Alligator mississippiensis: one gene and its partners. The protein of the gene in region 1 interacts with the protein of each later gene in a pairwise test. Links are inferred from orthologs where the notes say so. Each region holds a gene or a part of one and is shown on either strand. Other genes may lie near its edges.

Region 1 (7,695 bases):
CAACCTTGTCCCCACAGTAAAGGAAACCCAATAAAAGAAGCAAGTGTACAAACAGCAAACAAATGAACAAACAAAACCCAAAAGGCTGTGGTCTTTTTCAGACCCTGGGAGGAGTTAACACAGACTCACTGCTTCTACCCAAGCACCACATCTCCCCTCTTTTTGCTTTTTTCCAATCTGTGCCTGGATATTTGAAGCCTTTTTGTGGCTCCACCTCAAATCCCTCATTAGCTGCAGCTGCTGTCACCCTTCCTGCACTCGTAACTGCTGACTACCTGCAGTTGGGTTGCAGGCTCAGCCCTGCTCCTTACACAGACCCTCCAGCTTTTTTCACATACACGACCAAAGCAGCCACCTGGCAGAACTCCACCCCATGCCCTCACCTCTCACAGCTTTTTCCTTTACCAGCCTAATCCCAGTTCATTCAATTATCTCTCAGAAAATACAAATTCCCTCATGCCCTGACATGCTGTACCTCAATCAGACTTCCAACCAAAATGGTTCAATACTGTTTTCCTTTAAATGACATCTCAGATCCTGAAGCACAGCTCCACAGTGAGCAATAGATACTGCAGTCACAGTATCCAAGTCAGGCCCTGAATTTAATATTAAAATAGGTAGCCATAAAGGCTGCTATTGTGTAACATAATATTGTTTTCCTCAAGTCCAATCACAAGAGCTTGCAAAATTCCCAAGTTCCTAATTTTTAAAATAAATGGCTCTGTAGACATTTCTTGAAAACAATTAAATTAAACAGGAAAGGCCAGAAGCCCTACCGTCACAGTTAAACAGCCTACAATAAGACATACTGTGTTTATTTAACTATGTCAAGAATTGCTCCCCACCCTCCCTGCAGAGACTGCTTTGGGATTCACGCTTCACAAAGTTCACTGATACCTAAAGTTTTCATTTTGTCTTGGCACAGGTGTTTCCAGCTCTGGAAAGTAACACAACACTGGGACTTTTAGATTACATCATTCCGTATTACATTGCATGTTTTCTTTTCATTTTTACCATTTGATTTGATTTTACTAGCTGATCTCCTCTGAACCATGAGAGAGTGCCATTTCAAGCTTGCAGATGGTATGAAGCTAAGAATGAATGTTTTATATACACTAAACAGCAGCAACTAAAGCAGTCAGAGTTAAGGTCATGACACTGAACAGGGTGCTTGAACAGGAGTCTAATTTTAAGCAGAAATAGTCCCAGCAAAATCAAGCTTAAACACATACGCGGGCATCTTCCTGATCCAGGGCCTATGTGAAAAAGGTGCAAGATAGGGTCACACTGTTCTGAACACTAAGCTGTGATGCCTCCTGATTGGGATGGACAAGGAACAAAAGAGTTACCAAGACTGAAATTGGAGAAAAGATCCAGATGGCTCAATGGCACCAGCTGTTCTTGTTTCGGGACATCTAACTGTAAGGTAAAAAGAGCACAGAGGCAGCAAGCCAGTTCAGCAATGGGGTCAATAAAGACAGAAGGGAACCCGCAACCCTTTCCCAGCAAGTCGTGAAACCACGCGGTTACAACACATCGGAACTTTCAGGGTGGACTCCAAGGACAGAGCAAGTCTATCGCTGCAGAAGCAACTCCTGACCAGTCCCCTCAACCAGGATGGCCAGAAAATGCCTTGCTGCCAAGGGTGGCACCTGTTGGTTTATCACCATACATTATACTGGAAGTCTCTGGCCATTTCTTTCTAATCCTTGAAGGATCCAGTACCACCGATACTTTCCAAAGGGCTTTAACATTAGGAGTTACAAGTATCAATAAAAAATCCCTTATTTACAGAGTATTTAATATGTAAGTTTAAAGACACTTGTATTTTCGAGCCCACAACTTCTGTGGTGCTCAGTGCCCAGCCAACAGCCAAGACATGCCCTGCAGACCTGTGTCATTCAGCCCGCAGAGCTCCCCGTGGGTCCCAGCACATGCTACCCTATCTCCCATCGCTGCCTGATAGCAGGAACCGCGGAGACAACGCAGCCTGTGCTTTGTCAGTGATGCTTGACCAGAAAGGAGGCTGTGGCCAGGAGGGTCCCCGGGACTGCAGGCCCGTCTTCACCCGTCTCCGAGCTGAGTATCACCGGGCAGTGCCCACTGGCTCCTTGGACTAGTTGGGGGGCCAGCAGGGACTGTCCAGTGAGCTCTACTCGGCGTCCCGCCTTTGGCACTCTTGTTCCGGCCCTTTGACCTTCACTCCTGTCCGTTTTCCTATTATTTGTCCCCAGCAATCAACTGCCCCCCTTCTCTGCTGCCTCCCTGCGTGAGGGAGGCTAAGGGTGAGGTGGTGAGTGGTGCTGAAGGGGGCAAACGAGCCCCCGAGCAGCTGCTGAAAAGGCAGGCGGGCAGGAGCGGCATCCCCTGCGCCTCGGACCCGACACGGGGTGGGGTTTGGAGATGCCCCTGGATGCCGCCTCCCCGGGGCAGCGCCCCCCTCCGCCGCCGGGTGCAGCACGGGCCAGGGGCCCCGCCGGCCTAAGGGGGGCAAACCAGGGGCCCAGTGGGGCTCGGCACCCGGACGCGCTGGCCTGGGCCGGGCCGGGCCGGGCCGGGCCAGCCCCAGGGTCGCAGACAGCGCGGGGCAGGGGCCGCCTTCCCGCCCGCCGAAGCGAAGGGCCTCTGGGCCCGGAGCGGCACAGGGAAACTGAGGCACCGTCACTACGCCGCCTGACTCGCCTTGGGTCACCCAGCGCGAAGGAGGCGGGGCCAGGCTTGCGCATGCGCAATGCAAGGGGAAGGGGCGTCCCGGTCCGGCAAGCCGTTACCCGCGGCGGTGCTGCTGGAGGGCCCGGCTTCCTCTCTATAGTTCGCGCGGCTCAGAGCGGCCAGTCACGTGAAGGCCTGCGGAGGAGCGAAGGGGTGAGCGCGCGGGAGGGGTCGTGCGGAGCTGGCGCTGGGGGGAAGGAATGGAGCGCTTCTCTCACCGGTAGGGAAGGGACATAGGCCCCAAAAGTGCAAGGCTGGCTGCGTAGTGCGCATGTGTGGGAGCCGGAGCATGCGCACTGCCGGCTGTGAGACTGCGGCTCGGGTCCCCGCCCTGATCTTGAGAAGCAGGCACTCTGCCCTAATCCTGAGGCGCGGAGGACCCCCCCCCCCGGCGCGAAGGTAGGTCGATAATGCGCATGTGCGCTGATAGGAGCATGCGCAGTGCCCTCCCTGGGCTCTGAGGTGGGGGCATGTGCTCAGAACCTGGACGGCTCTGCTGGGGGGTGATGGTCTGCTTGAGGCGAGCCTGGGAGAGGAGAAACACTCTACTCATTCTCCCTGGTCCTGACCCTGTGCAGGGACTCCTCGAGCCCCTCAGCGCACTGCAGAAGGACCCCTGTCTTTTTGTCCCTGAGAGGCCCGGGGTAGTTAGAGCCAGACTATGTAATTATTTGGGCCTGGGGGCCACATAGGGAGGTGTGAAGAGCTGTTGTGTGCTGGGTCCACGCAGCAACCCACCCAAACTCTGTGGGCACATCCACGTTCATTAATGTGCCTCAGATCCTGTGAATTTATTACTTAATTTTGGACTAACTGAACACACAGTATCTACAGTTACTGGCAGTGGGGTATTAGCATGGTTTGTGCCGTGACATACTACTGCGTGGTGGTATTAAGCTAATGTGCATTAAGCGTCTCATGTAGACATGCCCCCACTGTGGGATGGGGCCATAGGCGGGGAGCTGTATTCGGGAGAAGGATGGGCATCTGCTTCCTGCTGGGCCCCACTGCTCAACTGAGCTCCCCTCACCTCTAGAGGCAGCTCCTCTTGCCCCTGGTGTGCTGCTACAGGTGGGGGAAGCTTCAGCCGGTGGGTCCTACCCCAGCACATGGGGCTCTTGTAGCTCCCAGCCACCTTTTACCTGCTCCACCCGCTCGGCTGCCATTTCCCCTGGCTGGAAGCAGCGCCACGGGCAGGAGCAGGAGCAAAAGCTGCTGCTGGAGGTGAGCTGAGCAGCACCCATGGGGCTGCAGCTGCACCAGGAGCCACTCTGCCAGAAGCTGTGCACACGGGCTGGGGCCTGCAGACAGAGTCAGGAGCGCAGCCTGGGCTGGGCTTGGCCCCATGCAGAGCTCCACAGGGGCAGTCGCTGGCTAGATCCAGTCAACTGGTTGGTTGGATCTGGCCAGTGGGCTGTATTTTGGCCAACTCTTGAGTTAGAGAGTGAAGGTCTGCCCCTTGCATTGCAAGACTCTACAGATGCCTCCTAATGGGAGGATCTCACCTACACAGTTTATGCTGATGACTGAGGATTGCTCTTGGGGGGGCACGGCGGTGGTGGGAGTATGTCAGTGGTGAGTGGGGAGCTCCTGCAGATGCTGCCAGCACTGGCGGGGGGGGGGGGGGGGGGCAAGCGCCGACCAGAGGTCGGCAATCACCCACAGATGCCACCGGCAGCATCAGCAGTAGACAGCGGGGATCACTGACTGCTCGCAGGCAGCGGCAGGGTGGCGAGTGACGACCGCCCCCAAGCACCGCTGACAAAAAGGCGCCACTGACACTGCGCATGCCCCTAGCTTGTTCTTTCAGCTTTTTGGCTAGGGGCAAGCAAGACTAGGGGGCATGTAAACCCCAAGGCCTTGGGGCTTGCATGTAGGATGCCTGCCATGGGTTTGGGAGTATCCTAAGCCCCAGGCTGAAGAGTTTGGGAGGTAGGATACTTGCCAGTGGTAGCACCACATGGACCTGAACAGTTGAGCTCTGCTCAGTCAATAGAATTTGGAGTTGATTTGGCCTGAGACATGGAATTTCAAAAAAAAAACAAAACCACCCCAAACCATATGATGCATATGTGAATGCAAGAGCCAAGATCTCCTGAGTGGCTTTTCTCAACAGGAATTAAAACAACCCCCAAGGTACCACTCTAGAGGGTTTGGGCCATTGCGAATGACGTCCTTTTTGTTTCGCAGGTGTTGCGTGATTGCGGGCTGGCTGCGCACTGATGGACAGTGAGGTGCAGAGGGACGGGAGAATCCTGGATCTGATTGACGATGCCTGGAGGGAAGACAAGTTACCATATGAGGATGTGGCAATACCCCTGGTAGGTGACCGCTGTGCACTGAATTAACAGCCTGATCTTGAGTCCTTGCATTTCCAAATTTCTTAACCCCTTCTAAGCAAATGATCCTTGCAACACCACCACTTTGTACCAGAAATACTCTTATACCGCTCTGTTCAGCTTCCCCTTTGTTTTGTGTGTGGCAAGAACATGGGATTCACTCCCCCACTTCCTCCCTTCTCTTCCCCCTCCACAGGTGGGGGTACAAATGCTTTCATCCCACAGCTGTTTGACTCCTTGGAAGGAGGAAACCTCTCCTCTTGCTCTTAGTCAGTTGTCAGCCTCTTTGGAGGGTGCAATGCTTCTTCCCATCCCCTGCCTCTGTTTGGGGTTAGGGGCAAGCACAAGTGATGCTCTTTTATCAAACTACATTTTATTATAGTGCTGGTTGTGTTTGAAGCAGTTTGCCAGACTGGGGTCTGTGGGTCTCGGATAAGCAGCCTTGTGTTGGCAGTGTGTGGAGAGTTAGCATTTAAGTACTGTTGGCTACTTTTCATTCCCAGCTGCTAAAATGCATTCAGTGTTTTCCTAAGAGTACTTTTCCATGTAAACAATCACTGTAATTATTACTAAAATGGTGTGATCATGGTGTCGGGACCAAGGGTCGGTCTAAGGCTATGGCCAGTAGCCTGGACCGTCAGATGGGGTTTTTCCACGACGGAGTAGAGTTAGGCACGGAAGCGTATTGGTTTTACAAAGAAAGCTTTACTTACACTGCCGATGGTCACAGTGCAGGGAGGAAACTTGCTTGAGTTGCAGTTGCACACAAACAAACACAAGTGAGATCTCTTCCGAACCACACCGAACCGAGATGAGTCGTCGATGTATGACTCCACGAGCGCTTTACACGGGGGATACGTCAAATTTTCACTATGACGGGGAGTGGCTAAGAGCTGATCAGGCCTCTATGTCCTCCTCCAAGGCACACGCAGAGTTTGCTAGGCTCCACAGCACGCTCAGAGTTCCCCACGAGATGGTTGTGGAGTCCTCCAACTTGGGCGGAAACTGCTCTAACCTTTTGTACGGCTAGCGAGCCAATTGCTAGCCGCCACGTAGGAATAATTTAGAATTGACCAATAGTGGGACACTAATTTGCATGCATGTGGCAGGAACTCTTTTGCACCAGGGATTTCTCTCTGCAGCTGAGAAATCCACCGCGCGAAGAAAGCTCCATGTGGCGGGAAAATTCCAATGTGCCGAGGCACTAAGAATCATTGGGTTATGACGCATAGAAGCATCTGTTATGTGATCCCAGTATTGAAATACAATCCATGCCAGAGGTGCCCCTTAAATTGTGCACTTGAACACATCTGTATTGGTAGTCTCTTTGCTCATAAAGGTACCTACACGACAAGGCAGCTTCCCTTCAGGACACAGGTGCCAACTTATCTGTCCCTGTGGGCCAGGTGAATGGCATGGGACTGGTTCATGGACTGGGTAAACTGCCAGGGGTCAGCCTGTGAACTGTCTTGGACCCTCCCCACCACATGATGGACCCTCCCCACCACATGTTGGATCCAGCATCTGCTTTGTGCGGTCCATGGTGCTTGTTCCATGCAGCACAGATCCTTGACCAGCCAGAGCAAGTGCCAGATCTGGCATGCAGGGGATCCAGTGGAGCACTGCTGCTTCCAGCATGGCTGTTCCAGCCCTTGCTCTGGCATTCTGGAACTGTGCCACAAGTGGTACCTGTTCTGAACTGGTTGGAGCAGGAGCTGGATCCACCATGGGGATGGGAGCCAGATGATGTGGCTCCATGGGCTGGATCTGGCCCATAGATCTTATCTTTGACATCTTTCCCTTTCCCCAGAGGCATGTAGTATCACCAGTCAAGAGCTAGTTGAAAAAGTGGCTCCCCTTATCCCCAACTGCATCCAGTGCTAAGGGCCACTACACTTCCCCTTTCCTCATCTCTCAGCTGGAGTGAGGGAGTCCCAAGGACTTGCCCTTTCTCTATTCCCTTACCATTCTGCCAGCAAGGGGAGTGGAGGGGAGGAACTGATTTCTCCTAGGTCTGTTAGCAACTATTTTTGATCTATCATGAACTCTGAAGTACACCAGGATCTTTGCAGCCCCTTTCCATTGGATACCTGCATATCCTGTTACTCTTCAAACACACACCCTCCCCACATAAACCCCATTCATTTTTGGATTTCATACAGCCTTAAATGAACTGAGTAAAGGCCTTCCAGAGGTACTCTGTTCTGGTGAGCTCAAGATCTATTTTCATGCTGATACTTACCCAACTAGCAGTGATTTTTAGTTCATAGCATAAGTATGCAGCCTGGGGATGGACCTCCTGTCACCTGAAATATGATCGTCTATGAACAGGTTGAAAATCCAGCACAGCTTCTTCAGAAGACTTTTTCACTCAACAACATCAAGAAGGGACTGACTGAAGGGTCCTAAATATGGTGCTAACTACTGCTTCCCTTAATGCTTGATCCAAACTCCAGTAAACCATGAAGGCTTCCAGTGACTCCAGTACGCTTGGGATTGGGTCCTAATTGAAACAAATTTTAGATTTTGAGAAGGTCCTTTTGTCTTGTCTCGTGCTAGGGAGCCCATGACTCAGAAGGGAGAATCCTGCTCTGGCGGTTTCATTCAGAATAACATATGCACACTAGAAATTGTACAGTTATGG
Region 2 (7,177 bases), on another chromosome or scaffold:
TATGACCCTTTACAAAACCTAAGGCTTACTAAGTCCCTCACATTTTAATTGTCATGTTTTAGAATGTGTAACATGCACCAAGCATTACAATATTTCCACTGCAGGTGATATTCTGTAGTGCAACTTGCCATAACATATGGCAATAGCCAGTAATATTCTTACTGCACATATACAAGCAAATCCACTGACATCACATTCACAAGCATTTTCATTATCATGTTAGGTCCAACTGGGTGTCAAGGGAAGGGTTTCTCTCAAGTAAAAAAGAAAAAAAGCAACCTACACAGGAACCCTCATCTTTATGCATGAGGGAGAATAAACCAGCAAAAGGCAGTAAGTCCATAGTTTGGGCTGTCATAAAATGGAGTAAGATTACTGTAGTCGGTTCCTGACTGCAGAAGAGAAGGGAAATGTTCACACTACCATGCAGAAAACCCTCTGATGACAGACTGGAGACCCAGTAATATTTCTTGACCTGAAAAGAATTAATGTAACCCTAGAGCCCAATATGGAATTTCAAACTGAGCACAGAAACACAAGGTGACCTGACCCCCTTTGGAGGAGGTGGAAGGAAGTGGTCGGAGTAGTTAATACAAAATAAATTCTGGCTTACGTAAAGTGTTTTTGGCATTTCAGAGTGCAAGTCTGCTGCCCTTTTCAACTGTACAATTCATTTTGGTGAAAGGTATGAAGCCGTCCCCAGATAATTCAGGTGCTTTACCTATGATCTAGGGAAGAGATGACCTGTCCTTACCTGCTGTCAGAACTGCAACCCGTTGTGGGGTTTGCCACGTGGACACATCCACTTTACACTGGCCCAAGGCCAAACATGGCAAGATAACCACAGCTCCTGACTGGCCGTGACAAGAAGCGAAGGGGCAAACTAGAAAAGAAAGGCAATGGAGTATCTCCATCCAGGGCTGTTCAGGGGACCCCTGTGGGCTCACACTCCCTGCAGTGGCAAGAAGCTCAGCTGTGGGCCTGCAGGATGTTCACAACCACACTCGTTTGGGAATTTCAGAAGCTAGGAAGTTCAGGGCCAAGAAGCAGGGAAAAAAAAATCAGCGCTAAGGTGTTTCACCCCCCCCCCCCTTCTGGGCAGTGCAGCAGCCACAGCAGAGGCATGACGTTATCCTGCTGCCTTAGAACAGGAAACAGGCACAGGGAGAGACATGCACATGCCCTGCAGCCCTGTGCCACCAAAGGCCATGACAGCCACCTGGCCCCATGGGGGAAGAGAAAAGGGGGGGCTCAGCCCCACCCCACGGGGGGGAGGGGCTCAGCCCAGCCCCACAGGGGGGGGAGGGGCTCAGCCCAGCCCCACAGGGGGGGGAGGGGGGAGGGGCTCAGCCCAGCCCCACAGGGGGGGGAGGGGGGAGGGGCTCAGCCCAGCCCCACAGGGGGGGGAGGGGGGAGGGGCTCAGCCCAGCCCCACGGGGGGGGGGGGGAGGGGGAGGGGGAGGGGCTCAGCCCAGCCCCACGGGGGGGGGGGGGGGGAGGGGGAGGGGCTCAGCCCAGCCCCACGGGGGGGGGGGGGAGGGGCTCAGCCCAGCCCCACGGGGGGGGGGGGGGGGGAGGGGGAGGGGGGGGAGGGGCTCAGCCCAGCCCCACGGGGGGGGGGGGGAGGGGGGGAGGGGCTCAGCCCAGCCCCACGGGGGGGGGGGGAGGGGGGGAGGGGCTCAGCCCAGCCCCACGGGGGGGGGGGGCTCAGCCCCACGGGGGGGGGGGGGGGGCAGAGGGGAGGGGCCCAGCCCCGCCCCACGGGGGGGAGGGAGGGGCTCAGCCCAGCCCCACGGGGGGGGCTCAGCCCCACAGGGGGGGCAGAGAGGAGGGGCCCAGCCCAGCCCAGCCCCACGGGGGGGGGGGGCTCAGCCCAGCCCCACGGGGGGGGGGGGGCTCAGCCCAGCCCCACGGGGGGGGCAGAGAGGAGGGGCCCAGCCCAGCCCCACGGGGGGGGGGGGGGCTCAGCCCAGCCCCACGGGGGGGGGGGGCTCAGCCCAGCCCCACAGGGGGGGAGGAGGGGCTCAGCCCAGCCCCACAGGGGGGGAGAGGGGAGGGGCCCAGCCCAGCTCTGCCCCATGGGGGGTCTCAGCCCAGCCCCATGGGGGGGAAGGAAAGGGAGGGGCTCAGCCCAGCCCAGCCCCACGGGGTGGGGGGAGGAAGGGGGGGGGCTCAGCCCAGCCCCAGGGGGGGAGGGGGGGGGGCTCAGCCCAGCCCCAGGGGGGGAGGGGGGGAAGGGGGAGGCAGAGGGGAGGGGCCCCAGGGGGGGGTTCAGCCCAGCCCCACGGGGGGGGGGAAGGAAGGGGAGGGGCTCACCCCAGCCCAGCCCCACGGGGGGGGGGGAGGGAAGGGGAGGGGCTCAGCCCAGCCCCACGGGGGGGGGGGAAGGAAGGGGAGGGGCTCAGCCCAGCCCAGCCCCACGGGGGGGGAGGGAAGGGGAGGGGCTCAGCCCAGCCCCACGGGGGGGGGAGGAAGAGGAAGGGGGGGCTCAACCCAGCCCCACAGTTAACTGCCGGTGCGGGCGCGGGGAGGCGGGGCGAGGGGCCGGTCCGGCCGTGCGGGCCCCTCCCCGGGGCGGGGGCGGCGCCTCCCGCCTCCATGTCGGCGGCGCCCTCACCTCCCACATACAAAAGCAAAATGTCCGCCATGTTCCGGCCGTACCTTGATGCCGTAGGGCGGCTCGTCGAAGGTCACCAGCATGTAGCGGTCGCCGCGGCTGGCCGGGTCCCGGGCGCGCAGCTGTGAGGGGAGAGGGCGGCGGCGTTAGCGTGGGGCCGGGCCGGCCGGGTGGGGGGGGGCGCGCGAGCGGGGGGGTGCTCACCTTCATGAAGATCTCCACGGCGCCCTTGGCCACGTCCAGGTAGCTGGTGCCCAGCGAGGCGCGCTGGTTCATGGAGGCCGAGGTGTCTATGAGGAAGAGGAGGATCGGCATGGCCAGCCGTGCCCTGCCTGCCCGCCCGCCCCGCTGCTCCGCTCGGCGCCGCCGCCCGGGCCCGACTGAGCGCCGCGGCCCTCGCCCAGCGCGCCCGCCCACGTGACCCGCCCCGGCGCCATTGGCTGCCCGCCGCCGGCATTTGCATATCCCGAGGGGCGGGGCTAGCGGGAGGGGGAGGGGCGGCGGGGGGAGCCACGTGCCCCTGGCGGGGGCTGCTGCCTGGGGGGCTCCGCGGACCTCGTCTCCGCTCCGTGGTTGCGGCCTGTTGCTGGGAAGCAGCTTTCCACGGAGGGGCCCCTTTGTAGGGCTGGGGGGGCTTCCGTAGGGCTTTGCAGGCCTAGGTTGTGGCTTTCCATAGGGCTTTGCAGGAGGGGGGGGGTTCATAAGGTGGGGGTTTTTGGGGCGTGGGGTTCATACGGCTTTGCAGGGCAGGGTGGGAGGTGGGTTTTCATCAGGCTTTGCAGCCCAGCCCTGGTCGCCTTGCAGGGGTCACTTTCCTGCTTGGTGCAGGGGGCTGGACCCCATCATCTTCCAAGGTCCCTGCCAGCCTGACACTCGGTGAATCATAGACAACCACAGTTCTTCCTAGAGCAGCTGGGCTGGCAGGGACCTGCGGAGGTCACAGTTCATCCGCCTGGTTCCCACCCAAAGGCACCCTCGTGCTCTGTAGGTATCTGGTGAGGTATCCTGCCAGGACACTGGGGGGACCTTGGGCTCTGTTTGGGGGGGATTGTGCAGTTTTGTGCTGGGAGGTAGTAGAGATTTCTGATCGGAATCCACAGTGCCCATAGAATGCAATAGAAAAATTGCCATTTTTGTTTTTCCCCATTCAAACTAAGAGCTGGCAGTTTCTGAGGGGTCCTTGAGCCTAACAAGGGGCCCTGAGTCTAAAAAAGGTTGCAAACCACTGGTCTATAAGGTGCATGCCCTGCATTTCCGCCGCCTATCGACAGCTTCTTGCGCATCCATCAGGCGGTCTGGGCTGCCGCACGCTCTGCGCCCAGCCCCTTGCTGCAGATTGCTGCCAGCCACCCTGGGCCCTGCTGCACTGGTCCAGTCGTGTCCTTTGCAGACACTCGTGCACCTAGAGTAGTGCCCAAAAGCTGAGCCGGGGCCCCACGAGCTGTGGGCTGCCCCAGGAAGGTGACAACAGTTGAAATGAGTCCCTGATTTCTAGGCCTCCACAGTTTTGCCCTTTAAAGGCCCTAATTTGAGGGTGCCAAATCCCTTACAAGCGTTTTCCACTTGTAATGCTGTTCATCAAGGCTGCCAAAAGTTAGCTGCTAGATGTTTATTGCATATTTTCTGCTGCAATTGTGTGTGCACATGGCAACTAAGAATGTCAAAAGGAGGTGCAATAAATAATTGATGACAGTACTCCCATACCAACTCAAGTGAGGGGGAAGAAGGGATGAAGATGCTCTGGATCATCAGAGAGGGGGAAAAAAGGATACTAAGGCTTCAGCTGTGCAGTGAGGTCCCTTCAAGTGAACCCATGCCCACACATGGGGCCCTCTGGATTTGAAGTCACTAGCACTGGTATTAGGCCCTGGTGCTGCCAATATCTACAACTAAGCACACTAGTAGCTAGTGTGAGTGTTCAAGGGAGCTATTTAGCACTACACTATAGTGCAAAATAGTTTGCAGGATTAAGTCCTGAAAATACTAAAGGGACATTTCAAACATAAATCTCATTTTTTTAAATAATTCAGTTGCTAGTTACTTTCCATTGAACAGAAGCACTTTTTAAACTCAAATGTTCTTTTTCACAGTGTATATTCCCCTACTTTTCTGTATTTCATTCAAGTCGAACGATTGAAAGAGCAGTCAGTTTCATGGTTTCTAGTCCATTTCACTTTATTTTTCTGATGCACTTGAACAATGCTGTTTAGTTTCACAACATTGCAGTGGGATGTTAAAATTGTCTCCAAAGCAATTTTAATTAAAAAGGAAAGGACTAACATTGTTCATGAAAATACTTTTACTCCAAATCAGTCAAAATCATCTCCAGTGTACCACCACTGAGTGTGCTGGTACACATTAACAGTGGTTCTGAGGGGGGAAAAAAGGTCTTTAAAAGAAAAAGAGGAGAAAGAGAAAGCCCTTGAGTCCATTTCAGAAAATAGAAATTGGCCTGTTAGGTATTGTAATTACCCCTTCATCTCATCCCACACAAAATCTAAATTCTGGATTTACAACGGGTAAATGTTACTGCTCTACATAAAAGGTTTTAGAAAGGCTTTTTTAATAACCAGCTTAGCTTATATGCATCTGTATTTTACACAATTTCAGCGAATTATTTAACAGTAATGGATCAGAGAGAAAAAAACACTTAAAAACTCCCGCAATAAAAACAAAGATACACAAGGATATTCAAACCTTTGGCTCTGCTACCTCCAAGTCATGGATAGGTAGGTGTGTGTTTCAAAGTACAGTCAGGATCTGGGCTCCAAGCTTTTAGCAATTTCTGGAAGAAAATACTGAAAAGGTGAAGTATTTTTAGAAAATATAGTGTACATGGGTGAAGCTAGATCAATAGAGCTGGAATTTCAATGCCTACTTATCTACAGATAAGGTACAGCAAAGGCAGCAGTAGGGCCAGCTTCCCCAGACTCCCCTGCTAATGTATTTCAGCCTTGACCTGGAAAAACAACTTCGTTTCCATACGGTCCTTGCCTTTGTAGCAGATGCTAACTCTGATGTAGGCATGTCTGCACAGAGTACTTGACTGTGACCGCATGTTCATTTCTCATATGCATAGCCATCAGATCATACGGTAACTTTTAATCACAGGTGACCTGGACCAGTTCAAAACAAGCAATGCGAAGGTTTAAGACTGCCTATACTGCTCTGTGAGATAGACCACAAGGTGCTAAAAGACCCTGAAAATTCATACTATTAGCAAGATTTCTGTGACTCCAAATGGCCAGGAACCAATATGCAGCTAAGCCCTCCTCTCCTCTACCCTCACAATAGTAGTTAAAGGTCAAGATGGAAGAAGGCTCTTGCTTTCAGTTTCAGAGGCTGACTTTTCCAGGAGCAGAGCTCCTTGCTGAGGGCTATGGTTTCTGGAATTTGCTCCAGCTGAACTTCACCAGAGCTGAAGACTAGCAATTTTCAGGGCACAATGCAGGAGACTTATTTATTTAGTTTAGATTTATGTGACTTTTTTTTACTCCCGAAAATAATGGTTGCTAATGTGCACAAGTGGAAAAAGCAGCGAGTGGCTCTTTGCTGGGATCCATTGTATGCAGCTCCACCAATTTGTGTTTGCATTTCTAAATACCTGGCTGCTATGGTGACAGACACTCCATAAATCAATAAAATAAGTTAACTCTTTTTTTTTCAATTTTCCAGAGAAGAGCAATTTAACTATGAGACATAAAAAGCTTGTCTCCAGGGGTAAATTGACCAGAGCAGCTATTTCAGAATAAACTAGTCTGCAATATCTATTTCAGACTAGTTCCCTATGTGGAAGGGCTGCTCCAGAATAAAAGTCGCTTTATTGTGGAAGTATTAGTGCACTTTGTTCTGGTCAAGTGAATCGTGTCGATAAGCCCTTATTTTTCTTTTCCTTGTCCTGACATAGCTTAACACCTAACCCATCTCTTCTAATAGGGGTTTAGTGCTAAAAACCATCCTTACTTCTTTTTGTATTGCTTCACCTGTTAACTTTGTTCTCACCAGCCGGCTGACCCAGGCATCTAGCAAATCTGAAAGGCAGTAGCCCTGCTCCTTTAGGCTTTGATCAGGGGTCATAGATGACCTCCTTTAGTCATCAGCAGGGCTCCTGGTTTTCTCCGATTGAAAAAAATTCCCAATTTTTGGTTAAGAAAAAGTAACCTCAAATCCAATTTTTTCCATGATTTAAATGAAACACCACTAATATATAGATCTATATATAACGGTGTTTCATTTTAATCATGGAAAAATGTGTATTTGGGGTTACTTTTTTTTTAAACAAAAATTGGGGATTTTTTTTTAAATCAGAGAAAACCAGGAGCCCTGGTCAGCAGAATCTGAAAAGTGCTGGATGTGCCAATCAGGAAGAAATATCCAACTTCAACCCACTTGCTACCAGATGAAAAATTAAATCCATCAGACCCTTTTCTGTGGGTCCCCATTTGAGTTTATTCCAGCCATACTGACCACTTGTCCCTTGGCTCCTGATAGCGCCCCCCAAATTAACAGATATGTGAAATCACTGTAAAAATATTCATTAGGCCTCATAATGTCTCTTTG
Region 3 (7,979 bases), on another chromosome or scaffold:
ACAGACTTACCAGCTGGATGCAGTTGTATCAGAAATTGGATTGCTATCAGCCAATATGCCTCCTTAAAAATCGGCTATTGGTATCATCCCCAAAAATCTATCAGTGCACCCCTATTTTAAACCATGGTTTATGCAGATACACTAGAGCTCAGAACAGGATACAGGACTGTGCACTACTTTATAAATCATCCAAATGATTTTAAAGGCAAATCTACTTGTTAGCAGGGATCCAAAGTAAATCCCTCAAGACAGGAATAACATACTATTGCTGCTTTCTCAGAGCTAGCCTTCTACTCAGCTGCACACTGAAGAAGCTGGTGCCCCTGGGAATATTCCAACACTTGGAAAAATTATAAACAACTAATGTAAAGAGTGTAAAAAGGCTAAACTACAGACACATCAATGAAAACATGAAATAGCTTGAGAAGCGAAAACTTCAAAATCTAGGGAACACAAGAGATTTTATATATTTGAAATATTTTATGGGTTAAAATAAACTGAAAGCATAGAAAATGCCTATAAAAGGGATTGTCCCATGCAGCAGGCTGTCATACTGAGCCATGGAAAAGGCCCTTTTTGGTCCATACAACAGAATACCGATTACAATGGTTGAAAAGCAGCTCTTTAAATCAGAACTCATGGCGGAGGTGGGATCTTTTATTAGAACAACTGGATATTTGCAAAAAAAAAAAAAAAAAAGGCTTTATTTGCAAGCTTTCAGGCACAGGTACCCTTCTTCAGGCATAGGAGAGAACAAAGATTGTAAAAGTTCTCCTAGGTATAAATGAAAATTCGTATTTCACCTTTTCAATCAGGCTTGCAAAATTCTGCCCGCCAACATTCTTATGCTAAAAAGCAATGAAAGGAAGTTTACCAGCATTATGGAAAAAATGAGGGGACAGAGGTTTTATAAATCCAGCATGGCCAATATTACTGTGAATGTTTCCAAGGCTACTTTGTATCAGTAGCACGAAATAACCTAAGGTAACCTTATCTGTTTGGATTATCCCTGAAGGGATAGTTTTATGTAAAACAACATTCAGTCTTCTTTCAAAGAAACCTCCATGGGGGGTTTATCCTACCTCTGCAAATGGGTTAGCAAAACAAGAAAAAAGCAAAAACCCAACAATCCATATCCACTGCCAAGGCCCCTCTCCTGTAGCGGCTCAGCAGGGAGATCAGAGAAGTCTGAAGTATAACATTAAGAGCACAGCTACATATTTTTAAAACACTCTTGACAGCAGAGTAATTGATAACAACCTCAGCAGCAGATGAACAACTGGACATAAACAAAAGCTAAACTAACAAAAGAAACTGGATCCACCACACTGGCAGTAACATTACAAAATGTGAAAAGAATATTCAAATATAGAGGAATGCCACCTGGACAACAATACTTCAAACCTACATGCTGCAATGTCTTTAATCCAGCAGCCCTATAAACACACTTGGAACCCCTCCGATTTCTATAGGCCACCTTGCAGCTGCAGAAGTGCTGCCATGCAGCAATCTTTTCAGGGACCACTAGTAATAAAAGGTCCAACTCTGCTTGACACCGAGTGTCCTCAGATTCTCCAAAGCATTGAGGCTCCCGATCAGTGTAGTGTACCCCAGGGGCATATCAGTACCAGCAGGACTGGGCTAAGGTGCCGTTTAGAAATACTACTCACAACGAGAGAGCCTGAAAGAGCTGCTAACAAACTAAAAATGCACCCCATTCACCCCCCTGTCCTACTTTACATGCAATCAAATCCAAGAAGCGTGCATGATTACTACAAAGCACATCTACATATATGCAATATGCCAATACAGTCCAAATACATAGACACGTACCACCCATACCCACAGTGTTGTTTTCTATCTACAAACAATGCTATGCACTGCAGAAGGGTACATGGAGTCTTTCAGGATGATTGAGATATATATATATCTCTCAATCATCCTGAAAGACATGCACACATACATACATACATACACACACATATATACTGTATATACATATACATACAAATATGCAATTTACACACACAAGCTCATAAAGTCATGTTTACACACACACACACACGCTCAGTTATGTATACACACACATGCTCAAAGTGTGTATATGTACACACACATCCATATATATGTATTTATGTTTTGTTTTGTGTTTTGAGCATGTATGTTTGGGTGCATATATGTATTGAGCATGTGTGCACATATATTTGAGCGTGTGTGTACACACACACACACACACACACACCCCCTTTGAGCATGTGTGTATATATATTTGAGCATGGATATATACCTTCAGCATGTATGTGTGTGTATACACACATACATACATACACATACAGTTTGAGCAAGTACGTGTAAATATATTTGAGCACGCATATGCACGGGTGTATATGCACACGCATGCATGCTCAAAGTACATACATAACCCCCCCATCCGGTGCAAACCTCCCTTGCCTTCCGGGCCTGTCCATGCATTGCACGTAAACAGTGGGGAGGCAGACAATGGGCAGAGCCGCCCCGGCCGCCTGCCGGGCCCGGAGGCGATGGCCCGGGCCAGCCGCCCTGCGGCCCAGGCGGGGCCAGGTGCGAGCCCGGCGGCGGGGGCGCCCCCCGGGCGGAGAAGGGGCTCACCTCCCCTGCAGAGCTGTGCGCGTCCCAGCCGGAGGTGGCCAGCATCCGGCCCATCAGACCCCCATGCCAGGGGGCTCCGGGGGAGCCGAGGCTTGGCTGCTTGTTCTTAGTTTCCTGCTTGTTCCATGTTAGAGGAGGAGGAGGAGGAGGCTGGTGCCCGCGGGCTTCATGTCTCCATGGCTGGTGCTGGGGAGGGAGCTGGCTTGCAAGGGGGAGCCTGCCTGCTTGCAGCTGCCCCCGGGGCAGAAAGGAGCCTCTGGGCTTGGGGGGAGAGGGGATTAAAAAAGAAAAAAAAAAGGGGGAGGGGAGGGGGGATGGGAAACAAAAACAAGAGAGAGGCGGTCGCAGCGAGCCCTTCCTGGGGGGAGCAGGGGAGGGAAAGAAGGGCCGGCAGCGCCCGCCACCGCCTCCTCCCCCTGCGCCGAGGGGCCGCCCGGGAGGCGGTGACAAAGCTCCCTCCCGCCCGCCCCTGCTGCGCTGCTGCCGCCCGCTCAGAAACGTACCGGCTGGGGTCGGGCACCTCGCCGGCCGCAGCGGTGCTCAGCCTTTTTCTGGACCAATGTTTGTAAACATTGATGGGCAGCCCCCACCCAGTCCTGAGCCGCGGGCCCCCGGTGCTGGGCAGGGGGAGCCCAAGCAGCCCCTCGCAGGCTGGAGCTCTGTGAGCCCGCACGGGGAAAGCCGCGGTGTCCCACACGGTTTTCTCCTTGAAAGGAGAATCCATTTTTCAAGTTTGTTGATCCTTTCTTTATTCGAGTAATTAGTTGGGGGGGGGAAAATCTTTTATTCAACTGTTTGAGTTGGTTTGATTAAAAAATACCAGATTTCCCCAAAGAACCTTGTCTGCCTATATCCTCAGATCAACACAGTGACAACCTACCCCCTTGCCCCATTTTTAAATAGCATTTGTGACCCTTGGGTCATGACCTACATGTTGAGAAATGCTGATCTAGTCCAACCCCTGCTTAAACCAGGACAAGCCCCAACTACATCATCCCTTTGTGTCCCCAACACCACCCCGGTAGCCTGTTCCAGGGCTTTGCTGCCCTCCTAGTCAGGGAGTGTTTCTTAATATCCAACCTAAACTTCCCTTGCTGCAACTTAAGGCCATTGCTCCTTGTGCTGTTACCTGCCACCACAGGGCTTGTGGCCCTGGCCTGTCCGCAGCTTTCAGGAGGAACGTGTGGTTGTAAAAAAAAATAACTTTTTTCCAAGTATTTAGTCAGTCTAATAAAAGATATCACATCTACCCAAAGAACCTTGCCTGCCTATGTGTGGGGTCCTGCATTAGTTAGTGAGTGGGAGGGTGTCCCCAGCCAGACACTGCAGTGGCAGGTGTGCGGAAATGAAGTGCCCTTGGCCTGGGTGCCCCCAAGTGACTGGTGGCTTCTGAGAGCAGGCCGCAGGGTGTCAGTGCTGCAGCCCAGGCTGTGGGTGCTGGGTCTTTATGTGTGCACACGTGTATACACATGCATGTATACATAGACAGATATATGTATGTACTGCACATGTCCCTGGCCTGTCACGAGTCTTCTGTGGCCATAGAACTGCACCTCACTTGTGTACCACAGTGTGCACATGTATGGTTATGTTATACAGGGGGGCAAATTGTATGCACATGCTACTACTTTGGGGAGCCAAGCCTAGCACCTAGCCCAGTGGCTCCTAGGAACTACCACAGTGATGATGATTATCACTTAGGAATAGTAGTAGTAGTATCATCATCATCAGGTTATTGTTGTTCTTATTATTATGTTATTGCTGCTATTATTATTACTGTTATTGCTGTTATGGTATTATTATTGTATTGTTATTGCTGTTGTTACTGCTGCTGTTAGTATCATCATCATTGTTGCTATTATTTTGTTGGTTTTGCTGCTGTTATTGTTATTTTGTTATTGCAGTTATTATTATTACTATTATTATTTTGTTGTGAGGAAGCAGACAGTAGTGACATCTCTATGGTCATGTAAAATATTTGGCAGGCACTGGATTGAAATGGGCCAGCCCACCTTGACCATCATGGTGCTGGCAGTTTTACTTAGCAAAGTACATTCACTTCTCAGCAAAACAAATGACTTGATAAAGCAGAGTGGGTAGCAAAATTTTGCAAGGCTGATTTGCACATAGGATCCCACAGCTGCAGCAGCATATGGGATCCGTGGTGTAGAACAACGTGATTCAGGATGACAGGAGTTCTATTTTTTTCTTCCAGTCTTCTGTGCAGGACCTATGCTGTAGGTTGTGGGATAGGGACTTGGTTTTCCTCTTGCTGTTTTGCGGAAGGATCAGACCTAGGCGTCTGCAGAAACTGTGCTACGACTTATTCATCCCTCCCCCTTTGCCCTTCCCCCTCCTCCTGCCTCACTGCGCATGCTGTCAGCTGGAGGAGGCAAAGAAAGAAAACAACAGAGAGAGAGAGAGAGAGAGAGGAGCTGGAGGGAAGGGGAGGATGAGGAGGAGGAGGCAGCAGCGATGGAAGGAACATAAGGAAGGAGGTGGAAATGGTGGGGGACTGCAGGACAGGGCTCCCAAGACAGAACCGTCCCAGTTTCAGGCAGTCTGATCTTGCTCGCTGCCTAGGAAATGTTGGGGAATGTGCAACTGGTGCCTCACCATTACCTTCTTCCTAAACCTAGTCCCCCTCCTACTAGTTTTTAAATCGTGCTTTTTTGTTTTGTTTTCAGGTGTTTATGCCCTTAGAGGAAAAAGGAGAAATCTGCCACACTTCCTACAGCAAGACTCACTGCAGTAAGAGGAACAGTAGAGGGGGAACTCAGGATTTGTTTGTATTAGTTCATCTCTTTCCCCCAGTGCACATTCATGCAGGGGTGCCATGGCAGAGGTTAAGGTGTCTTGCTACAGCTTCTGCTGGGTAAGTTTGAAATTTGCTTTATGCTCAGGCAACAGGCCTTCCAGCTGTAAACGGGCAGCTGGTCATTCAAGATGGAGTTAAAGGCAACTGCTTCATGTACGACTGGCTACAAAAGTAGGCATGCTTTAGCCTCAGTAGCCCAGTGAGCCAGTGGATTCAGGCGGACCTTGGGCCGTTTCGATATGCACGCGCAAATGCACACCTTGCTCAGCATTACATTCATCTCCCAAGATAGCCAATGCCCAAATTCCATTCAGGTCACTGGAGTTATACCAGGGAGTGAATTTGTCTTGATGTGTTTACCAACATAGCTTAGGCAGTTTAAGGTAAGGCATTAAGAAAAGGCTTGTCTGATACAGAACAGAAATTGCCTATAGTCACCCAAAGATTTCCCCCAGAAGAAATGACACTGTTGGTACATATAGCTGTGCACTAATGGAATGGTTAGTTCCAGGATTAAGGAATATTTTGACTAACTCTTCTACAGTTGTAAGCATTTTATGACGTGCCATTTAAAATAATGCAAGCTGTATATGAGGTAGGTACCTTGTCACCACATTTGCACACCTACAGCAGGAATGTTAAGTTAGGAATAAGTTAGCCTGTCATGGTCTGCTATCCTTCTAACACCTATGTAGGGGCAAAGACTCAAATTCCGTACTTCCACTGACATACAAGTGGCAAACAGGAGTTCCTTGGTTCCCTGATCTATTTGCTATCTTCCTCCTTCACTTCCTCCTCATCAGAGACCTGCATTTTGTGGTCTCACTCAAAGGACACTCGCTAGTGAGAGAACCTTTCAGGTGTTCTCTCTCAGATATGGACCTCTCATGATTAATATCCAAATTAGTATGAAAGTCTCATGGAGATGGTTTCTTGTGTTCAATTTTCTTTACACAGGGTGGAGTGAAGAACAGGTAGAGGGGTGGGAACAGAAAGGGTCACATTTCGCTCACTGAAACATCCCTGGTATGGTGGTCATCCCATTTTACTTTGATCTCTCTCATCTGCAATCCCCTTCTCTTTATTTTCATTCTATCATATCACCCCTTCGTGCCATTAGCCAAGCCTGTGAAAATTTACCAATATTCAGCCAGGTTATAAGCATTCAATAAAACTGCATACAGATGCTCAGTAGAGACCAGTCAGTGTTTAGCAGCAATATTCACCACAGATTCCACCTGCATGGAGCATGCTGCAGATGGGAGCTACAGGGACTGAGTAGGACCCTCCCTGCTCTTGTTCATCATGGCTACCAAACCTACCTGGACACAGACCATAGGAACTGAGGCTAGGGAAGCTGTCTTAAGTGCTCTAAGTGCTCCTGCTGCTGGTTCCCTGGGACCATAAAGGAAAACAAAGAAAAATCCTTATTCAGATGCAAAGACATAAAGAACAGACAATTAGGAGCTATGGGGTGGAATAGGCAGGTCCAAAGAAGGGAGGGAAGGTGGGATGGACAGGGAAAGGGAAGGGCAGGAGCTGGTACAGGCACTAGACATGAGGAAGGGCAGAGACAGCAACAGGGTGTTGATAGTGTTGGCTACAAATGTCCAATGCAGGATCCTTAAAATTCTGGTTTATTAGGTGGATTGAAACACTGTAATGAAATCAAATTATAAACCTTGGGGCTGGTCCCCTCATACACATGCACACACACCGTAGCAAGCTCTAAGAGTTGGGTATACCTGTCCCACAAGCGCTGGAGTCTGCCGTCGATGGCCAGTCGAGGATTCTTCCAGCATGGTGTTATCCTCCAGAAGGGGGTTGCCGGCTGGTCCTTCTGGCTGGACAGGTTGGGTGCTGGTCAAGTTGGAGATCAAGAGGGTGCCTCTGAGGGTCACTTTTCACTGCTTTTTATGTCCTTGGCAGACTTTGGTGACTCCCCAGTTTTCAGGTTTGCCCAATCCAGGGGTCATTGACCCTTGTGGGACTTCGTCCTTGGTGGCTACTGGATGGCACCTGTCAGCCCCAGGAGTCATCCACATGTACGTGCAGGTTTGGGAGTCTGCTGATTAATTTTGATTAATTTACCGCTGTCATGAATAGGGCTCTGGGAGTGGTCGATCTAGAGATATTCAGCCCCAAAAGTTGGTCCCCGGCATTGATTAACTCAGACCAGGGCTTCTAGCCCTTGAACAGTGAAGTTCAGAGAATTCCCGGTTGCTAAATTGTCTCCTATTGATTTCTTCGTTGGTTGATCTGCAGTTTCCGCAGGTGTTAATCGCTGCTTATTACTGAAGCCTGCTACTGTGTTACGCATTCAGTCACTGATACACTGGCTCTTTCAGGGGTCCACCTGATACAGGGAAGCACTGGTTTGATTCCTGCCCTTGTTAACATTGTTACAGTGTATAACTTACTTCTAAAACTAAAACACATTTAGTTAAAAGGTGAAGAGTATAAACTATAAGCTACAAGAGTAATGCCATGGCACACAAATAGATAAAAAATACCAAAATACAAGGGGAGATAC

The links. The genes of interacting proteins can lie anywhere in the genome.
Region 2: the proteins of CEP63 (region 1) and integrator complex subunit 6-like interact in a two-hybrid assay, tested with the Homo sapiens proteins (2 studies listed by BioGRID and IntAct). The link is inferred for Alligator mississippiensis from reciprocal best matches to the Homo sapiens genes CEP63 and INTS6L.
Region 3: the proteins of CEP63 (region 1) and CCNI interact in a two-hybrid assay, tested with the Homo sapiens proteins (2 studies listed by BioGRID and IntAct). The link is inferred for Alligator mississippiensis from reciprocal best matches to the Homo sapiens genes CEP63 and CCNI.

The regions. Positions count from the first base shown.
Region 1 is NC_081830.1:30,840,221-30,847,915, reverse strand, and holds the start of CEP63 (centrosomal protein of 63 kDa), read right to left. Parts: upstream 3,015-7,695; 5' UTR 2,931-3,014; intron 2,866-2,930; exon of another isoform or gene 2,772-2,865; intron 1,420-2,771; 5' UTR 1,350-1,419; intron 1,336-1,349; exon of another isoform or gene 1-1,335. Other genes in the region: ANAPC13 (anaphase-promoting complex subunit 13), read left to right, coding at 4,935-5,033. UniProt on the Homo sapiens protein: Required for normal spindle assembly.
Region 2 is NC_081831.1:80,204,838-80,212,014, forward strand, and holds the start of integrator complex subunit 6-like, read right to left. Parts: upstream 3,001-7,177; 5' UTR 2,933-3,000; coding exon 2,822-2,932; intron 2,740-2,821; coding exon 2,662-2,739; intron 1-2,661.
Region 3 is NC_081825.1:142,276,823-142,284,801, forward strand, and holds the start of CCNI (cyclin-I), read right to left. Parts: upstream 3,001-7,979; 5' UTR 2,629-3,000; intron 1-2,628.